6 linked regions of the Sus scrofa genome follow. The protein of the gene in region 4 purifies or fractionates together with the protein of the main gene of each other region. This does not show direct contact. Links are inferred from orthologs where the notes say so. Each region holds a gene or a part of one and is shown on either strand. Other genes may lie near its edges. The genes, in order: TNFAIP3, SQSTM1, baculoviral IAP repeat-containing protein 2, CASP8, tumor necrosis factor receptor superfamily member 10B-like and tumor necrosis factor receptor superfamily member 10B-like.

Region 1 (3,500 bases), on a different chromosome or scaffold from region 4:
TTGAGATGCACCAGCATAAAATTCCCTAAGTAACATCTGGAATTCCCCAGCGCTAAGTTATTTGACTAGCAATTGAGCAACAGCTATTGTACTTTTTGTTCTGGTGTGTAGACATTTAAACTGCGAAGTGCACCCTGGACTTTCCAAGTGGGCGTGGTCAGAGTGAGCTGGAATAGGGCTACTCATTAGACAAGTGAAATCGCTGCAGCCAATAGACGCTGGAATTTTTCACATGAAGTTTCAATTTTATGCCACCTACTCCCTTCCTCATTCACCGCAGTCTCATATCCTCAAATGCAAACTTGTGAATCACCCCCTCCCCAAACAGACCACTGACTTTGTAGACCCCTCCTCTAGGGGGAGGGCTTAAAAAAAAGGTGGTCATAAAAATCAGAGAGGAAAAGTCATTTGTTTCCCTCCCTCCTCTAAATACCTTTTCATCCTTTTCCAGAATTTTAAGGACTTTTCTTGAAAGTAGGGAAATACAGGGATTCTGAGCCTAAAAATCCCTATTTCCCAGAAAATGACAGCTAAATTCATTTGCTTTTGGAGTTTTATTTGTAGCGTGAATCCTTGATCTAAATGACATTATCTTTGCAAAACAAGTGTTTACTCTTTATATTCCTTTTTTTTTTTTTTCTTCCTGAAGGCACCAGGGCAAGTTAAACCTAAAATTTCTGTTCATGACAATACAGTTTTTCTCCTTCTACCACATTTCTAATTTGACAGGATCTCTTTGTTTCCAACTCTCCCAAAGTGGACTCCATTTCTTTTTGTAATAAAATGGGAGAGAGTTAAAACCACAAACTGTCAGGAATATAAACCCCTTGATAGTGACTTAACATAATTACCTACTTCTAAGCATGACTCGATTTAATGCCAAGAACAATGTAAACACTAGCTAGCCCCAGTGTTCTTTCTATCCATGTTTCTAAGCCACTATGCTTCAAAAATAAAAGCAAGATGATGCGGCAAGGCGCCTGACCCTCAGAACCAAAGCAAAAAAACACATACCTCATTCGTGCCAAGTTACCCAACCAAAAATGGCCAAAGTTAATGTACCGAGTCACTTAATGAACTTAATGTTCTTATCATTTCACTGTCAACAAAGGTGTATTATTTTGCCCTTCAATGCATTATTTTGATTGGTATGGTTTAGGAACGTCACTGAGCTAAGGACAGGAGATTTCTGGCCTTACCTAGACTGTAAGCATTTAGTTGTCTAGGGCAGTCTACTTGCTTCCTGTAATAATTAGCTACCTTTATAAAGGAGAATTCGTATCTGCCCAAAACAGCATGCTTGAATGTTTCTGTGATGTACATACTCTTGTTCAAAGGAAATAATTAAAACAAAACAGTAAAGCTTAGAAGAGGAACACAGCTACTAGTTATAAATGGCCATTGGGCAGAGAGTCACAGACAGCAAGAAATGCATTACGAGGACTCCCTAAAAATAATGAAGGAGACATCTAAAATCTGGGCTAAAAATCTCAAGTATCTTTCTAGTTCATATCAAGGGATCACAGGCAACAATCCTAGGCAGGGGAGGAGCCAACAACAGCCACTGGTTAACCCATAAAATGCCACCGATTCAAAAAGTATAAGGCCACCGACAGAAGCATTTTCTAATAGCTGTGGGAAACACTACCAGTTTTCACACCATGCTTTCCTTTTGAACTTAAAGCCTTTTCTATTACTGGCTAGGGAAAGTTTTTTTTCTTTTTTAAATAAGGTATAGTCAATTTACAATGCTCTGCCAATTTCTGCTGTCCAGCAAAGTGACATACAGACACACACACACACACACACACACACACTCCTTTTCTTACATTATCTTCCATCATGCTCTATCCTAAGAGACTAGACATAATTCCCTGTGCTATACAGTAGGACCTCATTGCTTATCTATTCTAAATGTAATAGAAGGGTTTTATTTTGTTTTTTACAGATGACTCAACAGTTGCAAGAATTAGATACAGAAGTCGTACATATATACTATAAGCATATACTTAATAGGGGGATGGTGTCTAGAAATGCAGTCCCCAAGCCTCAGTGAGCTCTGCTCTCTAACATACACAGCTAGAAAATATCCCTAATTAAAATATTCACAAAAGAAGCCTGCTTTCCTCACACGTCCCTCAGAGAGCCTCTCTACTAAGGTTATCTATGGCCTCAAGAGATTTGAGCTTGGGTTCAAATAAGAGCTACCACCTTTTAATGAATGGGACCCTGCATCCTGGGAGCCACCCCACTGACAAAAGCAAGTCTTACCATTCGTTTTCAGTGCCACAAGCTTCCTCACTTCTCGACACCAGTTGAGCTTCTTCTGGCTTTCCAGGGAGGCCTGGATGTTCCTGTCGATGAGAGCTTTGTGGATGATCTCCCGAAATTGCGGACAAAACTGGCAGGTTCTGAACATTTCCAGAGTGTATCGGTGCATGGATTTAAAATGGTGAATGATTCCATTGGTAGGTTTGAAAATATCTTCTGGAGTTCTCTCTCTTATCTTCACAGCCTTCCGCATGTTGCTCAAATACAAAGCCAGGGGAAGGAGTTGCTCAGCCATGGTGCTCTACAAGGCCTGAAGAGGAGGGAAAGAAAACCCCATTCCGTTAGCTCGACTTTGATAGGGCTCCTATATACCTGCCTGCAGGAAACCCCAGTGTTTGATCTTGTCATTACCCTAATCAAGAGGCAAAAGATCTTAGTCACCTCTGCTCCCAGGATACTAGCTGGCCCCACAGATTAACTCACACTGGACTGTTGTAAGTTACATCACTTTTAAAGATTAGTCTAAACAAGAGAAGGAAGGCGGGGAGTGGGTACTGAGGAGGAGGGGAATAACCCGTGTTTTCAGTAACGTCTGTCAGGGAGCCAAGCCTGTCTGTCAGCAACAGGTACTGTGTCTAGTGACCAACCCAAGCTCCCATCTCACTTCGATGCTGCTCTGGGGCAGCCACTGGATTTTAGGAGCCCTGAATGCAGTTACAGGCACAACGGAGTCCTGACGAGCCTGTTTTCTCTCCTAAGAGCACCACCAAGCAACCCTGCTCTTAGGCAAAGTCTTGCTTTGCCTCTTTTAAGCGCATCCCCACCTCCCCACTGCAAAAGGCAGTAAATATTTTGTAAAAAGTCCTGCAATTTTATGCTGCCACCTAGGCTGCTGATTAGAATTTCCTCTTCAGTCCCAAAGAGAAATACTTATAAAGTGCTTACTTATAAAATGTACTATAACATACAAAGCATTAAACTGAATGTTTTACAACCAACAAAAAAGCCTATTTCCAGCAAGATGCTTTGCAATTTTACGAGCCATCAGCCATCTTTCAGAACCCCTCCATTGAACTTTACAACATCAGAATAAGAAATTAATAATAACAATATGGCAATAATAGAATGATAAATTCCACACTGCCAAGAGCAGATAGTGGAGCTCAATTACATCAACTCAACTGCCAACCAAATTTTATTATCGTCCTCCAGGTACCAACCCTCAGATG
Region 2 (4,244 bases), on a different chromosome or scaffold from region 4:
GGCATGTGCAGCCTGGCCGGCGTGAGGCAGCAGGGAGTTGCGTCTGCACCATTTTAGACTTGTCCGGCACTAAAATCAACCCCAAAGCTGGCCCGCAGGCACAATAAAGAGGGAACCCAAAGACCCTCTGACCTCCCCACCATGGTGGACACGGACCCTTCCTCAGAGACGATCCCGGCCCTGCCTTAAACGGCCCATAGTCTCCTCACCCCTTCTTTGGAGCAACTTCTCCATGACCTCAAGCTGGTTTGACTCAGCACAGAGCAGCCCCTTACCTTTAATGTAAATACGGAAGATGTCATCCTTCACATACGACATCGCCATCGTCAGTTCCTCGTCACTGGAAAAGGCAACCAAGTCCCCGTCCTCATCTAGAATGTTTAAAAGACAGCGCATCAACACCCAGTTGGACACAAGCTGCTGAAAGGACTGAGGCCAGTGCCAAAGGGGCCTGTGCAGGGCTATAAACTGACGCCCACCTGGGTGAGCCAGGGGCAAGCAGGGCTGGGGCCGAACTTCTCATTCACCCTGCCACTGCCTGGAAGGTGAGCACTCCAAGCTGGGCCCAGGCACACTTGGGAGGTGGAGTGCCTGTGTGCAGTGGGCAGCAGTGGTAGCACCCAGCCACCTGCCACTCTGCCTCTGGGCCAGCTGCTCTGTCAGAAAGGTGCTGTCTCCATCTACATCCAACCAGACCCTGTCAACTGTGGGAGGTCCCCATCTGCAACTGGCTCCTTGGCGTTCCAGCCCCTCCAAAATTCTTGGACCTCTTGTGGCTTAGGAAAGTAGAATATATCTTCCTGCTTCCTCCCCAACGAAGCTAAAATTATGTCTTTGTATGAAGCCTCCAACTTTTAGATGTCAGCTGAAATGATTTAAAGCACCACCACACAGAACCAACCACACAATACATGTGCAAGCCAGGTCAGGTCTATGGACCACCAAACACAACATCTACCATAAAATCAGGGACTGTGTCAAAAAGCAGAAATAGGGAGTTCCCGTTGTGGCTCAGCAGAAATAAACCCGACTAGTATCCATGAGGATGTGGGTTCAATCCCTGGCCTCGCTCAGTGGGTTAAGGATCTGGCGTTGCCATGAGCTGTGGTGTAAGTGGCAGACACAGCTCAGATCTGGTGTTGCTGTGGCTGTGGCGTAGGCCGGCAGCTGCAGCTCTGATTCAACCCTCAGCCTGGGAACTTCCATATGCCTCCGGTGTGACCCTAAAGACAAAAAAAAAAAAAAAAAAAAAAGGCAGAAACAACCTAAACACCCATCAGCTAATGAATGGCTAAACAAGATGTGGCATGACCATAAGACAATATTATTCATCCACAAAAAGGAATTAAGTACTGATACATACTACAACATAAGTAAACCTTGAAAATAGTATGTAAATAAGAGATGCCAGTTACAAGACTACATATTTTTACATGAAATGTCCAGAATAGGGGAATCCATAGAGATTAGGGGTCGCTTGGGGATTGGAGGATAGGATGATGGGGATGGGAGGAAGCTAACAGAGTTGGTGTATAAAGTGATGAAAATGTTCCCAGATGATTGTGATAATGGCTGCGCAAATCTGTGAATATACTAAAAACTCAACACTTTAAACTACAGTATGTGAACAGGAACTCAAAGTTATTTTTTTGAAAAAGCTAGGGGCTGGCGAGCTGGCAGCAGTCCTGAGGGAGGTCCCGGCACGGCCCCACCCACCGGCGGGCCTGGTCCGCCCGCCTCCCTCCCAGTCACAACAACCTCCCCCAACTCCACCCCGCGCAGCCACCGGTCACGCCAGCTCAGCTAGAAACTAGGCAGGCTCGTGAGCTCTGTCCCTACACCAACACTTCTCGAGAATGTTTTCACCTTGTCCCTCTGTCCGCTGCCAACGGGATAACGTCTGGATCCCGCCTGGCCTTGGGCAACCTATGGTCTCTCCTCCCCACCTCCGGCCAGACTGTGCAGCCCTGAGGGCTCCCCACTGCTTATTTACCCTCGTCACTTTTCTGCGTAGCCAGCCCTTCCCCCTCATCTGCCCGCCCAGGCTCTTCCGGGTTACTATCCGAACCCCCCATCTGGGGCTAGCGGGCCCCAGCTGGGCAGTAGCCAAGTGGCAGTGTAACCCGAGTGCCCCTCTAACCACCCCGTGCCCGCCGTGAGGACGCCCCCGCGCGCCCTCCCCAAGATCTGCACCATCATGGTGGGGGGAGGGGAGGCCTCTTACGTCGCCGGGCCCGATCCGCTAGGGGACTGGCAGCGCCTGACCCCACAGGTCTGGCTGTGGTCACCACTCCTGGCTACCAGAATGGCACCCAAGGCCGAAATGGGAACCCACGCGGGCCACCGCCCACCCAACGAGCGATCAAACTCCCGCAGGCGGCCCCAAGCCCCACGAGAAGGAAGGGAGCAGCGACCCTGCCCGGCAGGGCAGCACTGCGTCACGGCCCCGCACCGCTCCCCGAGAGCGCCCGGCCTGCTCACCGCGGTAGTGCGCCTGGAAGCCGCCGGGCCGTAGCACGGGGAACAGGGCGGCCACCCGGCTCAACAGCCGCTCGCAAGGTCCGGGGCCAGCCGCGGCCTCGGCTTCCGCCTCGGGCTCCGGGCTGAAACAGAAGCTGAAGCGGCGAATCTCGCGGGCCGCATCCTCCTTGCCCAGAAGGTAGGCCTTCACGGTGAGCGACGCCATGACCACCAGTTGGGGAGCAAGAGAAGAGCCCGGCGGTGGTAGCGGCGGCGGCGGCGGCAGCGGGAGGGGACGCGCGGCCTTTGTAGGGAACGCGGGTGAAGCCCCGCCCCTCATCGCTTCCTGGGGGCGGGGCCTGAGTGTCAGAGGTCTGGCTCCAGCCACCCCGGCCGTCGCGCGAGAGCCGCCCTACAGGAGCCCCAGCCTCGCTACCTCTCCCCGCCGTTGAGCCCCCTCATTCCCGACCCCTCTCCTCACCGCCCCAAGTGCACCAGGGACACCAAGAGGCCGGCCCCGCACGCTGACATCTAAGTCTGGCGCCTACCTCTATACCTGGGGCAAGGGACCGGCCAGGGTCCCGCCCTAGACCCCTCCCAGGCCTGACCAGGCCGTGACTCAGCAAAACGGAACCCAGGCCACCGGGGATGCACAGCTCAGGAGGGAGGTGGGCAACAGAGGCTGGAAGCCAGGAAGAGGGGACACTGCTGACACTGCTAGCTACAACAAATTGGCTCCCGAGGCGCTGTCTTGACCTTGCCACTCTTGTCAAGGGCCCGCTCTTGCCACCAGTTTCTCAGGTGGCAGCCCACTACGCCGCCCCCAGCATCCCCCCTAATGGCCCTTTACTGGGTTAAAGCACAGACACTCAACTCAAACCTGAGCACCAGAGGAGCTTCCAGTTTAATAGGGGGTAGGGTTGAGAGATGCCAGAAGAGCACAGGATCTTCCCATCCCCACCTTGCTGGGGGGTCTGCTAAGGCTTCCTGGAGCCTCAGTGGCCACCAAATGTTCACTGAAGCCCTAAGGACTCCCCATCGGTACTCCCCATCCATCCCCACTTGTCAGCTCAAGGTTCAGCTCAGCAAATGGTGCCCAATGGCCTGAAAGATCTCAGGTCTGTTGGCCTCATGGGCAGCCCAGGGATTACATCAACAGCCCCCACCCTACCCCACCCCCAGGAGCCAAGAAACACTCTTTTATGTAACCGAAGTGACCTGTTCAAAGTGCCTAGGGGAAGGGGGTTGTTGGGGGAGGAGGTGCCTTAGAAGAAGGTAAGCAGGCGGGTATGTCACCCTATGAATCCTCCCAAGTAGGGCTCTGTAGGTAGAAAGTCAGACCTGCTGAGTCACACTCACTTTTTTCATGGTGGGGTTTGTGGAAGTCAGTAAAACTTAAAGGGATGGGAGTTCCCATCGTGGCTCAGCGGAAACAAATCTGACTAGCATCATGAGGACGCAGGTTTGATCCCTGGCCTTGCTCAGTGGGTTAACAATCTGGTGTTGCCCTGAGCTATGGTGTAAATTGCAGACTAGCCTCAGATCCTGGGTTGCTGCGGCTGTGGTGGAGGCCAGCGGCTACGGCTCTGATTCGACCCCTAGCTTGGGAATCTCCATATGCCTCAGGTGCAGTCCTAAAAAGACAAAAACAAACAAACAAACAAAAAACCTTAAGGGAATGGGAAACCCAGAGACCATGGGGAAGGTAGATTGGGTTTGGCTAGTTTGCTGACTTGCTTGTGGAATCACAGCAGGAACCTAGCCACAGATGTGGCTTGTTCCTC
Region 3 (3,929 bases), on a different chromosome or scaffold from region 4:
AGAAGCCCTCCTGTTCTGTTACTGACTGGCAGGCAGAAATGACGGGGAGGAAATGGGAAATGGTTCAGGGTCTCGGAATTCCCCTGGCTGCCTAATTAAGTGGCTTGTTATTTGGAAGTTTTTTTTGAAATATTTGCCCCCTGGAGTTCCCCTGAGAGAAGAAAGCATCCGATATCATTGACAATGAGTGTCTTCACAGAACATAAATTAAAAAATTCTCCTGCCGCCATTCAACTAATACTGCATGCAACTGTCTGTCTTCACCCCATTGCTAAAGAGGGGGCTGGAAAACGTCCCTGACTAGTAAAGGTAGTATTTTGTATTTACAATTTTTTTCTGACAGTTAACTTTTAAAATGTGATGGACAAATGGGCTCCTTTATGGTTCGTGTACGATTTACATATACACACATCTACATAAATGTATATATTCCGTTCTAGCCACATTCAGAAAAAAGGGGGAGTGAAGCCTGGCCTGAAACACCGTGTTCACTTTGCTAGTGATGAAAATAGGACACTTTTCGTTAATGCATTCGTCTCCAGAAGAGAAAAACAGAAAAGATAGTGATTATATAATAGATATGCCCCCCAACATTATAGAATCAAGGCTTCAAAATTAATCTGAGGCTGTTCTGCTTTCCAACACTTGGCTTTTTTCCCATCCCCAGGGCCAGCTGTGGAAGGTTGACGCCAGGCAGCTGCAAAGGGGAAATGGTTACAGCTGTTTACTTAGTTGCAGCCGAAACGCCTCCGGGCTGACTCCACCCTCAAACGCCGTCATCCACGCCGAGGGGAGGGTCCCATTGGAGGAATCCGGCCGGGAACTAATCCCGGCGAGTCGACGTGGGGAGAGGTTCGCCACCCGCGCCCGGGCGTTTCCCCAGGGCTTCCAAAGATTCAAACTCGACGGCTCTCGCCACGTCCCGCTCAGGAGGATGAGAGGGACAGCGAGGGAAAGTGCTCTCGCAGCGAGATTGAAGATTAGCACACCAAGCTCACGCCCAGCCCTGCCTTCCCCTGAGGGCTGACCGCGCGCTGGGTCCCGCTCTCCGCCCACAGACTCCGGGGCGCCCTCGCAGAGGGAGTGACGCGCACCCGGTCGGCGCGCTGACGTCATCGTGCGTCTGCGTGGGCCCTGAGCGGGCGGGGGGGGCCCCAGGAGCTCTAACTGCGCAGCCCAGCCGGCAGTTCAGCCCGCGTCGTTGCTCCCGGGACTGTGGAGGCTCCTGGTGGCACTGCTGTTTCGTGTTGGACGCGTCTGCCCTGTGGTGAGTGCAGGTCCTTCCGGACCCAGGCCTCGCGGGGCTGGGTCGGGGCGCGCAGGCCGCGGGGCCTGCCTTCCCCGAGACTGCAGTTGGGCTGGGGAGGACAGGGCCGGGAGTCGGGGGTCGCAGGTAGCAGTTAGCTCTTTGCTACTCTACTGTCGAAGATGCTTTTGTTTAATTCGGAAGCTCCAGTTCCAAGACATGCTGTCGAAAATAATTTTTTTAATTGACCTGTTTACAAGTCTACTCTGGCCGCTTCTCACTTTTCTGGCCCTTGGCCTTTGGCCAAGATGTTTTAAGAGTTTTTGCAGGGTTTTAAACTTAACCCTCGGTATTCCTTTATTTAATATATTCAAACGGAGACAGTAACGTATCGGCGAGATCTCTTGTTTCAGATAGGTACAACCCCGCTTTGCCACTTTAGTATTCTATTGTATATTGCGAGAAATAACTCGGGGAAATTAATAAAATTCCATAATTTCTCTTCTTTTTCCTTGCAGTCTGTCTCCTTCCCCTTCCCCCCAGCCACAGTTTGCCTAAAGAGGGCAAATCCTGTACAGTTCCTGCAGATTAAAAATATGCAAAGATAGGACCTCAAGTCCTTGTGTAACGGAGGCATTCATTCAAGCGGTCACATTCCCAAGGCCAGTGTTTCATAGGCCATTGTGCTGTGTTTTGTTTTGTGAGTTGCTTTCTGCGAATTGTTGCTTTGGAATTGTGAAGGCATTGTATTCACGAGTTCCTGGTGAATTTTAACTCTTAGTAGTTTTTTTGCCTAGTTCTGGAGAGACTTGACATTAAGAAATAACGTTATTGTCTGGATAACTGCTGTACTGTTGATGATGGGTGCAGTCTATTTTTCACCCTCCCTTTTTACCGCTAGCAAATTGCCATAGATAATTATCCTTAAACTAAATTATAAGTTGTCACCAGAAGAGGGGAGGAGGAGTTCCCGTTGTGGTGCAGTGGAAACGAATCCAACTAGGAACCATGAGGTTGTGGGTTCGATCCCTGGCCTTGCTCAGTGGGTTAAGGAGGTCTCAGACGCGGCTCGGATCTGATGTTGCTGTGGCTGTGGTGTAGGCCGGCAACTATAGCTCTGATTGGACCCCTAGTCTGGGAACCTCCTTATGCCCCGGGTGGCCCTAAAAAGCGCGCGCACACACACACACACACACACACACACACACACACACACAAGAAGAAGAATAGGGGAGGAGACCAGGGGCGAAGTATTTTACTATGTCCATCTGTCTTCAAAGTAGTACATAAAAAAAAAAAAATGTGTACTTATTGCTAAGGGGAGTATACTGCATTTATTTTAAAAGGCTTTGCAATTAATTTTGGTGACAAATTGCTGGAATTAAGATGTATTATTTAGGAGTTCCCGTCGTGGCGCAGTGGTTAACGAATCCGACTAGGAACCATGAGGTTGCGGGTTCGTCCCTGCCCTTGCTCAGTGGGTTAACGATCCGGCGTTGCCGTGAGCTGTGGTGTAGGTTGCAGACGCGGCTCGGATCCTGCGTTGCTGTGGCTCTGGCGTAGGCTGGTGGCTACAGCTCCGATTCAACCCCTAGCCTGGGAACCTCCATATGCTGCGGGAGCGGCCCAGAAATAGCAACAACGACAAAAGACAAAAAAAAAAAAAAAAAAAAAAAAGATGCATTATTTAAAGTATAAGTCACTTTTAGAATTTACTGAATAAATTGAGAAAATTATAAACTGTATTTACTGTGAGAATATGGTTTTCTAAAATAGCTTTTGTTTTTTCTTTTCAGATTTACAGTCCTGAAGAGTCTACTTTTGCCCTCTCATTTTTTCCCATTGAAGTAATAAATCCAGTTGTGGAGACTCAGAAACTTTATGAAGGGATATAGTTTGCATTCTGTGCAATGTAATTTTGTGTATGAATTATATTTTTAATTTATGAAGGGTTTTCAGAAAGAAGGCTAGTAGGGTTAATTATTGGTACATTACGCATGAATAGTGATTCTGTTGATAATGCAGTATCTTCTTAGGCTTATGTGTTAACACTAGAAAGGACAAACTGTATCTTGATAAATATTTACCTTTAATTACAAAATGAGTAATATACATGCATGATTCTTAAACAAAAAAAGTTAATTTTTTAAGAAAGTTTCTCCTGTGAAAATTTTATGGTTAACTAGTTAAATTTATGGAGAAAATACCCTCAATTGATCAAGTGTAATAAACTGTTTGCAAAGTTAGGAAGAAAAACAACATAATGATGCTGCAGGTAATGGAAACAAATATAGACAATATTTAACAAAGATGGAAGAGTTATCAGTTTTTGAAGGAAGCAGAATTCATTTCCTTTGACATCACACAGGCTTCAAGAAAGCTAGTAGGTATTGACATCCCCGAAAGTTGTTAGCTGAAGCTAATTTAACCTTCTTAAGTAAATACTGCGTTGGTAAACTGTGAAATTAGCTTTTAGATAATGCGACCATATGGAGACTTTAATTCTTTTTTACTAGAATAAAAGATTTTTTAAAGTATCATACTAAAGTGCTGGTAGGGAAAGAAGCCTGCATTTAGTTTTTTTCCTCTTGTAGAATAATAATTAATTGGCTTTATAACCAGGCTTTGTAACTTATAACCAAAGGCAAATTAAAGGCATAATTTAGGTATTCTATGCTTGTTT
Region 4 (2,660 bases):
GTAGCCACCGGCCTACACCACAGCTACAGCAATGCGGGATCCGAGCCTCTTCTGCAACCTACACCACAGCTCACGGCAACGCCGGATCCTTAACCCACTGAGCAAGGCCAGGGATCGAACCCGCAACCTCATGGTTCCTAGTCGGATTCGTTAACCACTGCGCCACGACGGGAACTCCTCACTATCCTCTCTTAACAGCTTAGTTGGGCAACCTGTTCATTCACTTCTGTTGCTAGCCTCCTGGAACCTCGCAGGATTCCTGGTCTGTTGCAAAACGAAAATGTAGCGGGGATGTTCTGGTTCAGTCCTTTATCTGCCATGGGCAATTCTTGCTCTTCATACACTTATAACATAATGAGACGTAGAACTAGAAACAACCTGCGGAAGATTCCTTGCTACTTATCTGCTGGTTGTGTGTGTGTGTGTGCATTTGGTGAGCTGTGCCACACAAAACCATCATTTAGCTAAAGGAAACATCAGCTGCAATAAATGAGGGAAAGATATTTTCCCACATTTTGTGTGGCTTCAAATCCGGCCAAATTCGTGGGAATATAAAAGGTTTCTCCTCTTTGGCACTTACTTTCCACAAGAGGGTTTGAGGTTGGTTAGCTATTAAAGAGCTTTGACAGGGTTGGAGGAGGTTGAACGTTGAAATGGGCTACTGCCTTCTTGGAAGCCTTCCCAACTAGTTGAGTCGGTTCAGTCATGTTTCTGCCTAGAGATAGAGCTGGACTCCATGACTTTACGACGTGGCCAACGCTATGACACCCTGATTGTCGTATGAGGTCCTAAATAGAAGAAACTCCTCAGGAAGTATCTCAGTTTTTTCTATCGGTCAACTCAAGATGCTCACACTTGCCGTCTCTCCCCCATCGCAACTGACCTGAGAATTACAGCTAGGCGATCCACAGCCAGATACTTCGAGATGAATGCAAGTTTGAAGAAACAAAAATTACCTGGGACATCTTTCTTTCAGGCTCTGGCACAGTGATTGGATATACCAGGTCCCCTCCATGGTGCTTCGGTAAGAAACACAGTTGTTCACAGTGGCCATCCCCAGCAGGAAGTCCGCCTCGTCTGGGATATATCTCTTCTGAAGTGATGAATCCATTTCTAAATAGGCTTCTGTCTGTTCTGAGTCTGTCTCAATAGCTATACCTTTCTGGTATTTATCCCCTTGACAAGCCTGAATGAAAAAAATTTTGGGTTTACCAAGAAGGGAAGGGCACTTCGAACCAGTGAAATAAGAGGTCAGATCATAGATGGGGGCTTCCCTCCCATCAGAGCCGTAGATGATGCCCTTGTCTCCATGGGAGAGGATGCAGCAGACAAAGCAGTCTTTGTCATTATGGTCCAAGTTTCGGTAGTATTCCAGAACATCACAGATTTCCTTTGCTGTGACATCTTTGTAAGGCCTTACTTCAAAATGAAGATCACTAAAGGTCTTGCTCAGAGCCGCTGAAAAGTGAAACAAGAAAAGTCACATTACACCACAATAGTTCCCAGACCATAACCCAAAACTAGCGAGAACATTGATCAGATAAGAATTTGAATGAAAACTGAAGAACAAACCTGTCTGGAGTTCCCATCATGGTTCAGTGGTTAACAAATCCAACTAGGAACCGTGAGGTTGCGGATTCGATCCCTGGCCTTGCTCAGTGGGTTAAGGATCCAGCGTTGCTGTGGCTCGGGCGTAGGCCGGCAGCTATAGCTCCGATTAGACCCCTTAGCCTGGGAACCTCCATATGCTGCAGGTGCGGCCCCAGAAAAGGCAAAAAGACAACAACAACAACAAAAGAATAAACCTGTCTATGTTAGTAGCTGGATTCCATTCACTTTATTTTTTGGCCATATCCTCAGCATGTAGAAGTTCCCAGGCCAGGGACTGAACCTACACCACAGCAGCGACCTGAGCCACAGCTGTGACAGCACCACATCCTTAACCCCCTGAGCCACCAGGGAACTCCACAGCTTTTAGTGTTTACTGCCACTAGCTGCAAACATTTCCAGTCCTGAGGCAAATGAGAAAGGGGAGAGTGCTATTACTGGCCTGTTGTCTTTTCTCAACTAGTGTACAAGATGGGTAAGCTATTATTTAGGCTTACAACATAACCAGTCTAAAATCTAACTGTATTACTTGCATAATCAGAAATAAGGTGCAAATAACTTTTCCTGGATAAAAGATCCATACTTATTTTATCCTAAACCTTCTCAAAACTGTTCATCAAAATACAAGATATGAATGTTTAAAAAGTCAAGTAGAACTAAAAGTCATTACCCAAAAAAAACAGCCGTCCCCTCTCTACTCCTCCCTATTACTTGGTCATGTTCTGTCTAGTCATTAGTATGAAGGCAGCCACTTTCAACTTTTAACTACTTTTTTTTTTTTTTTTTTTAGTGTTAGCCTCCATTTTGTAATGAATTTGGGTACATTGTTATTTATTCATCTATAAATTTTAGACTTTTGAGTTCCCACTGTGGGTGATGAGCACTTGGTGCTCTTATACATTCACAGCTTCTACTGAAAGCAATAGAAATATTGCTACTACTATGTACACACAATATTCTTAAATTATGCATCCTTTCTTATTAATTTTTTTTTGTCTTTCCTGGAATTAGCAATTGCTTTATTTTTCATTGCTTTGTTTTCTACATACTTA
Region 5 (2,799 bases), on a different chromosome or scaffold from region 4:
GGGATGCAGAGCAGCAGCTGCCTCAGCAGGGGGAGCTCTTCAGGTCCCGCCCTGGGGTCCAGGCCTGCCCGAGGGTCCTCTGCCCTTTCTGAAGCTGGTCCCAACCTTCTCTCTGTGACTTTCCCCCAACCTAGGCTTGAGGCAGTTCTTTGATGACTTTTCCAACATCGTGCCTTGTGATTGCTGGGACAAACTCATGAGAAAGATGGACCTCACCCAAAATGACATCCTTCAGAGCAGAGATCGCGCTCGGAACACCGGGGATGCCTTGTATGAGATGCTGGAGACCTGGGTCCGCCGCAAAGGGCGGGAGGCCTCAGTCAACGACCTCCTCGATGCCTTGGAAGCACTGGGGCAAAGATACGCAAAGGAGAAAATTGAGGACACGCTGGTGGGCTCAAGAAAGTTCGTCTTCAAAGAAGGTGAAGCTGGTGCTGCTGTGTCCTGAGTGTTTGAGGACCTCATCTTCCAGTTCTGGACACGTTTTTTATCCAAATGGACTTGCTCTTTTTACTCTCATGTATTACAATAGAATCTATGTTTTGTTGGGGAGGGGGTGTAATCTGTAATACTGTTTGTTGTATGACTTTCTGCTATTTATTGTTTTTTGCGGTTTTTTTGCTGTCTTAGGACCGCACCTAAGGCCTGTGGAGGTTCCCAGGCTAGGGGTCGAATCGGAGCTGTAGCCGCTGGCCTACGCCAGAGCCACAGCCACTTGGGATCTGAGCTGCATCTGCGACCTACACCACAGCTCACGGCAGCGCCGGATCCTTAACCCACTGAGTGAGGCCGGGGGTCGAACCCGCAACCTCATGGATCCTAAGTCAGGTTCATTAACCACTGAGCCACAAAGGGAACTCCTGCTTCTATGTTTTTTATATGTATTTATAGTAGCCTAGAAAAGATTCTGTGAAATAACACTGGGTTGTTTACATGGGTTGCCTTTTTGAGAGGTGCGAAGCCACAATGATTGGGTGTCACAAGTAATGGCAGAAGAGAGCCCAGCACCGCTGTGGGGAGCACTGGAGGAATCCACTCTCCTTCAAAGGCAGTCTCGCACTCTTGGATACCTGGTGACCTCTGTGGTGCCCACTCTTTTATACCTGAAAATCTCATAGGTGTGTGACTATTTCTTTTATTTACCGGTGGGCGTTTACAAGTCAGCAGAGCGTGACGAGACGTGGCATCCCTGCACAGCCCTGTGTCTGGTGTCTGTGAGCTGGGCTGTCAGGCGTGGGCCTCCGCCGGTTCTTCGTTGGACCTCGGTGCTGAGGGTGGGATGCAGGTTGGGTGCAGATGTTAAGTGACATGGGCGTCTTGCGTCTGATCTTGTTAGTGAAGCTTCGGCTCCCTCTGGGTTCCCGGGAGGGAGGGGAGGGATCTGGTCCCAGTGTCTGCCGTGGTCTCAGGGAGGAAGTGCAGTTGGTGGTGGTGGACTGTGTTCAGTGTGGGCTGACTCGGCACTAGATGGGCACTCGCGGTCCGGGTGCTCTGATCTGAGCCTCAGAACTGCCTTTTGCGGTCTGAGTTGGCTACTCGGGCATCTCAACCTCTTCGTAAGCTTTGGCCTCCTGCAGAAACAGACTCACACAGACATGCCAATTCCTAAACACTGTAGGCATTGGCCTAAAATGGCTGATGTGTTGGGGTTCTGTCCTTTCATTCCTTTTTTTTGTTTGTTTGTTTGTTTTAAAGCCTTCCATTAAAACCCTTCTTTGTAGGCGTCCAGTTACTGCAGGATGATCTTATGGAGGAAGGGCCACTCAGGAGTTGTGGTCTTTTCCGTCTCAAGACTCTGTGTGTTGCCTTCCCCAAAGCTGATGTGGCCAAAGATGGAATTGCCTGACATTTAGGCACGTTCAGGGTATGGTGTCGGGAGTCAACTGGAGTGTTTTGGAAGGGCTGCCCCCCATGGTCCTGCTGTTATAAGCAAGCCCTCTGGCCCCTTCTTTCCGGATATCTGGCCCTTCTCTCAGAGGATTTCTGTGAGTGCCCTTCTAAAGTATTAGTCTTATCAGTGTTTGTCATATCCCTTCACATATTTATTGTGTCTTTTACCAGTGAAAACCTTCTAGAGATATGAAGTTGTTTCCTTTATTGCTTCGTGTCAGTGCACGGGAAGTTTTATTTAAAAGTTTTATTTAAAGGTTGGGTTCTGTGCATGTTTCCTCTCCATGGGAAGATCCCTTTTAAGAATTTCTTGGAAACCTTAGACAATGAAAGAAAAGCCACTGGGCACAAAATACCATGTCCTTATGAATTTGTGACCAAATTAAACATGCAATTCTGTATTTAAAAAGGTGTGTGTGTCTTTCTTGGCCATCTTCCCGTCCTCTGGAGCAGCTCGGAGTGACAAGGGTGCAGGGCATGTGTTCTTGCCGTGACCTGCTCCTTCCTTCTTTATGCCTCGGGCTCGGCCCGCAGGGGTTTCTTCTGCTCTGACTCTGGATTTCCCCCTGGAATCCGGCCCCTGCTCCCTCCCTCCCTCCCCTCCCTGCCCTTCCCCTGGCAGAGAGACCTGCGCCTGGCCCGGCCCCCCACAGCCCCCCCCCCCGGTGCTGTCTCTAGGTCACACCTGGGCCTGCAGGGCTCTCGCGAGATGCGCACTGGCTCTGACAGAGCCCTTGGGATGAGGTGGGTCCCTGAGGAGGGGGGCCCTGCTGGCTGGGGTCACTCTGTGACCCTCTCACCTGTGGGCCTCCTGGAACTCCAGGGCCACCTTCCCCTTCCCTCTCTGCTGGCCCCTCTGCCCCCTCATCAGTGGGCCAGGTGGCTCTGCACTGCAACCTCATAGAGACC
Region 6 (2,455 bases), on a different chromosome or scaffold from region 4:
CAAGCCTTGGCACTACCCACCAGCAGGCCAAGACCCAGCTCTACTCCCCAGTGGGCAGGCACAGGCCCTGCCCTCCAGGAAGCCTACACCAGCCTCTGGACAGCCTCCAGAGGGCAGGGGGCAGACACTAAGTGCAAAAAACCTCACAATCCTACAGGCTGTGGCCCCAAACTGTTCTCAGACCCTCTTCTGGGACCAGCCAAAATTGAATCAGTAATAATAACAATGATAATAATAAACCCACAAACCAAATAATAAAAAAAAAACCCCAACGAGCCTTCACAGAATAATTCCACCAAACATCGTGAGAATTAACACCTATCTTTCTCAAAATATCCCAGAGAATTGTAGAGGAAGGAACACTTCTGAACTCATTCTACGAGGCCAGCATCAAACTGATACCAAATCCAGACGAAGATATCATCGAAAAGAGAAAATTGCCATCCAATATCACCGATGAACATATGTGCAAAACTCCTCAACAAAATATCAGCAAACCAAATCCAGCAATACATCAAAAGAATCTATACCATGATTACGTGGGATTTATCCCAGGAATGCAAGGATTTTTCCAATATCTGCGAATCAACCCATATAGTATAGCACATCAGCAAACTGAAGCATAAAAACCATATGATCATCAAAACAGATGCAGAAGATTGTGACAAAATTCAACATCCATTTATAATGATAATTTAAAAAGCTCTCTGCTAAATGGACATAGAAGAAACATACCTCAACATAATAAAGCCTGTGTATAACAGACCCACTCTCTGCTCATTTGTAAACATTTACCAATAAATAATATAAATAATCCCATATCTATAAAATAATCAGTTGGAAATGATGGACACTTTAAAAGTTGGTTATCTACTCCTAGACAAGTTAAACTCCCATATGAGGGAGAACTGAACTCAATGATGCCTCCTAAAGCGATGGGCTTTTTCCTCTTCCTTCTTTGGGTTTCTTTTGTTATTGTTGCTTGCTCCTATTTTAGGAACTCATGCAGGCAACCGAGTAAGTGCATTTCCAAAAAGTTTTGTGCATTTATACAAATACGTACAAAAATATAAAAATAGACAAATGTATATCATAAAATATCATAGTACAGTTAGACAATTAAGAATAAGCATATCAATCCAAATGGAACTCACATTATAAAAAGTACAAGTAAAAAGTGCAATTCTGTTAGGATAAGAGTGTCCTGAACAGAATGATATCCTAAATCAGCTCTCAGTAAATTCACGCACATATTCATAAATGTTTCCACCATCGCTTATCAATGACATTTCTCAAAAATTACTCTAGTTTAACCAAAAAGTTCTAGAACTTTACAAGTGTGGCATATATCCGAAGGTAGACTTCATTCAAGTATTTGGTCCAAGTACCTGATGTTTCTTTCAAGCTGGTATCTAATCATGCTTCCCTTTCCAGCAAAAAACATAAAGTAGGGAAGCTGTGGTTTCATAAAGAGATCCTTTTACACTCAGGACACAGCAGCACCAGCTTCACTTTCTTTGAAGACGAATTTTCCTGAGTCCACAAGCTTGTCCTCAATTTCCTCCTTTGCGGATCTTTGCCCCAGTGCTTCCAAGGCATCGAGGAGGTCGTTGACTGAGGCCTCCCGCCCTTTGCGGCGGACCCAGGTCTCCAGCATCTCATACAAGGCATCCCCGGTGTTCCGGGCGCGATCTCTGCTCTGAAGGATCTCATTTTGGTTGAGGCCCATCTTTCTCATGAGTTTGTCCCAGCAATCACAAGGCACGATGTTGGAAAAGTCATCAAAGCACTGCCTCAAGCCTAGGTTGGGGGAAAGTCACAGAGAGAAGGTTGGGACCAGCTTCAGAAAGGGCAGAGGACCCTCGGGCAGGCCTGGACCCCAGGGCGGGACCTGAAGAGCTCCCCCTGCTGAGGCAGCTGCTGCTCTGCATCCCTGACCTGCTTCCCAGCCACAGAGAAATCAGGCCACACGCTGCCTGGGCCCCCTATGTCCCCAGGACACCGTAGGGAGTCAAGGTCACCAGAGAATCCTGTCCTAAGTGAGGGAGAAGGGCCCACCGGGGAGGGGAAACGGACGTCATGGAGGGAGAAGGCAGTAGTGGCAGGAGGCAGAGGGGGCCACCTGCCCCTCTCAGGAGACTCAGGGTGGCACCTGCCCCTCTCGTGAGACTCAGGGCCCCCAGCTGCACTGGGGCCCCAGCAAGGCCTGGAGCTTGGAAGGTCTCTGGCTTCACACTCAGCTCGGCCTTCCTGAGCTGGATGGGGACAAACAGACGCTAACATGTGAGGTGGAGCCGAGGCCGCCCGCCTCGTGGGACTGTACTGGGGATGCAGGGCAAGCGTGTGCAACGCAGTGCACACCACTGTGCATAGGTACCTAAGGTGGCCGCTGAAGGAAGTTCATATTCTCTCACAGCTACGCTGGAAAACGTAAAATGTTAACAAGTTATACTAA

Evidence for each region.
Region 1: the proteins of CASP8 (region 4) and TNFAIP3 purify together in Homo sapiens (affinity purification with western blotting; 3 studies listed by BioGRID and IntAct, with this or other methods). This does not show direct contact. The link is inferred for Sus scrofa from reciprocal best matches to the Homo sapiens genes CASP8 and TNFAIP3.
Region 2: the proteins of CASP8 (region 4) and SQSTM1 purify together in Homo sapiens (affinity purification with western blotting; 5 studies listed by BioGRID and IntAct, with this or other methods). This does not show direct contact. The link is inferred for Sus scrofa from reciprocal best matches to the Homo sapiens genes CASP8 and SQSTM1.
Region 3: the proteins of CASP8 (region 4) and baculoviral IAP repeat-containing protein 2 purify together in Homo sapiens (affinity purification with western blotting; 4 studies listed by BioGRID and IntAct, with this or other methods). This does not show direct contact. The link is inferred for Sus scrofa from reciprocal best matches to the Homo sapiens genes CASP8 and BIRC2.
Region 5: the proteins of CASP8 (region 4) and tumor necrosis factor receptor superfamily member 10B-like purify together in Homo sapiens (affinity purification with western blotting; 13 studies listed by BioGRID and IntAct, counting the BioPlex papers as one, with this or other methods). This does not show direct contact. The link is inferred for Sus scrofa from reciprocal best matches to the Homo sapiens genes CASP8 and TNFRSF10A.
Region 6: the proteins of CASP8 (region 4) and tumor necrosis factor receptor superfamily member 10B-like purify together in Homo sapiens (affinity purification with western blotting; 14 studies listed by BioGRID and IntAct, counting the BioPlex papers as one, with this or other methods). This does not show direct contact. The link is inferred for Sus scrofa from reciprocal best matches to the Homo sapiens genes CASP8 and TNFRSF10B.

Annotation. Positions count from the first base shown.
Region 1 is NC_010443.5:26,483,272-26,486,771, forward strand, and holds part of TNFAIP3 (tumor necrosis factor alpha-induced protein 3), read right to left. Parts: exon of another isoform or gene 2,683-3,500; intron 2,582-2,682; 5' UTR 2,567-2,581; coding exon 2,272-2,566; intron 1-2,271. UniProt on the Homo sapiens protein: Ubiquitin-editing enzyme that contains both ubiquitin ligase and deubiquitinase activities.
Region 2 is NC_010444.4:78,761,199-78,765,442, forward strand, and holds the start of SQSTM1 (sequestosome-1), read right to left. Parts: upstream 2,801-4,244; coding exon 2,482-2,800; intron 372-2,481; coding exon 276-371; intron 1-275. UniProt on the Homo sapiens protein: Molecular adapter required for selective macroautophagy (aggrephagy) by acting as a bridge between polyubiquitinated proteins and autophagosomes.
Region 3 is NC_010451.4:33,040,478-33,044,406, forward strand, and holds the start of baculoviral IAP repeat-containing protein 2, read left to right. Parts: upstream 1-1,129; 5' UTR 1,130-1,267; intron 1,268-1,764; exon of another isoform or gene 1,765-1,946; intron 1,947-3,042; 5' UTR 3,043-3,158; exon of another isoform or gene 3,159-3,929. UniProt on the Homo sapiens protein: Multi-functional protein which regulates not only caspases and apoptosis, but also modulates inflammatory signaling and immunity, mitogenic kinase signaling, and cell proliferation, as well as cell invasion and metastasis.
Region 4 is NC_010457.5:104,943,357-104,946,016, reverse strand, and holds part of CASP8 (caspase-8), read right to left. Parts: intron 1,459-2,660; coding exon 957-1,458; intron 1-956. UniProt on the Homo sapiens protein: Thiol protease that plays a key role in programmed cell death by acting as a molecular switch for apoptosis, necroptosis and pyroptosis, and is required to prevent tissue damage during embryonic development and adulthood.
Region 5 is NC_010456.5:7,344,288-7,347,086, reverse strand, and holds the end of tumor necrosis factor receptor superfamily member 10B-like, read left to right. Parts: intron 1-134; coding exon 135-448; 3' UTR 449-2,299; downstream 2,300-2,799. UniProt on the Homo sapiens protein: Receptor for the cytotoxic ligand TNFSF10/TRAIL. The adapter molecule FADD recruits caspase-8 to the activated receptor.
Region 6 is NC_010456.5:7,258,544-7,260,998, forward strand, and holds part of tumor necrosis factor receptor superfamily member 10B-like, read right to left. Parts: exon of another isoform or gene 2,378-2,455; intron 1,801-2,377; coding exon 1,487-1,800; 3' UTR 1-1,486. UniProt on the Homo sapiens protein: Receptor for the cytotoxic ligand TNFSF10/TRAIL. The adapter molecule FADD recruits caspase-8 to the activated receptor.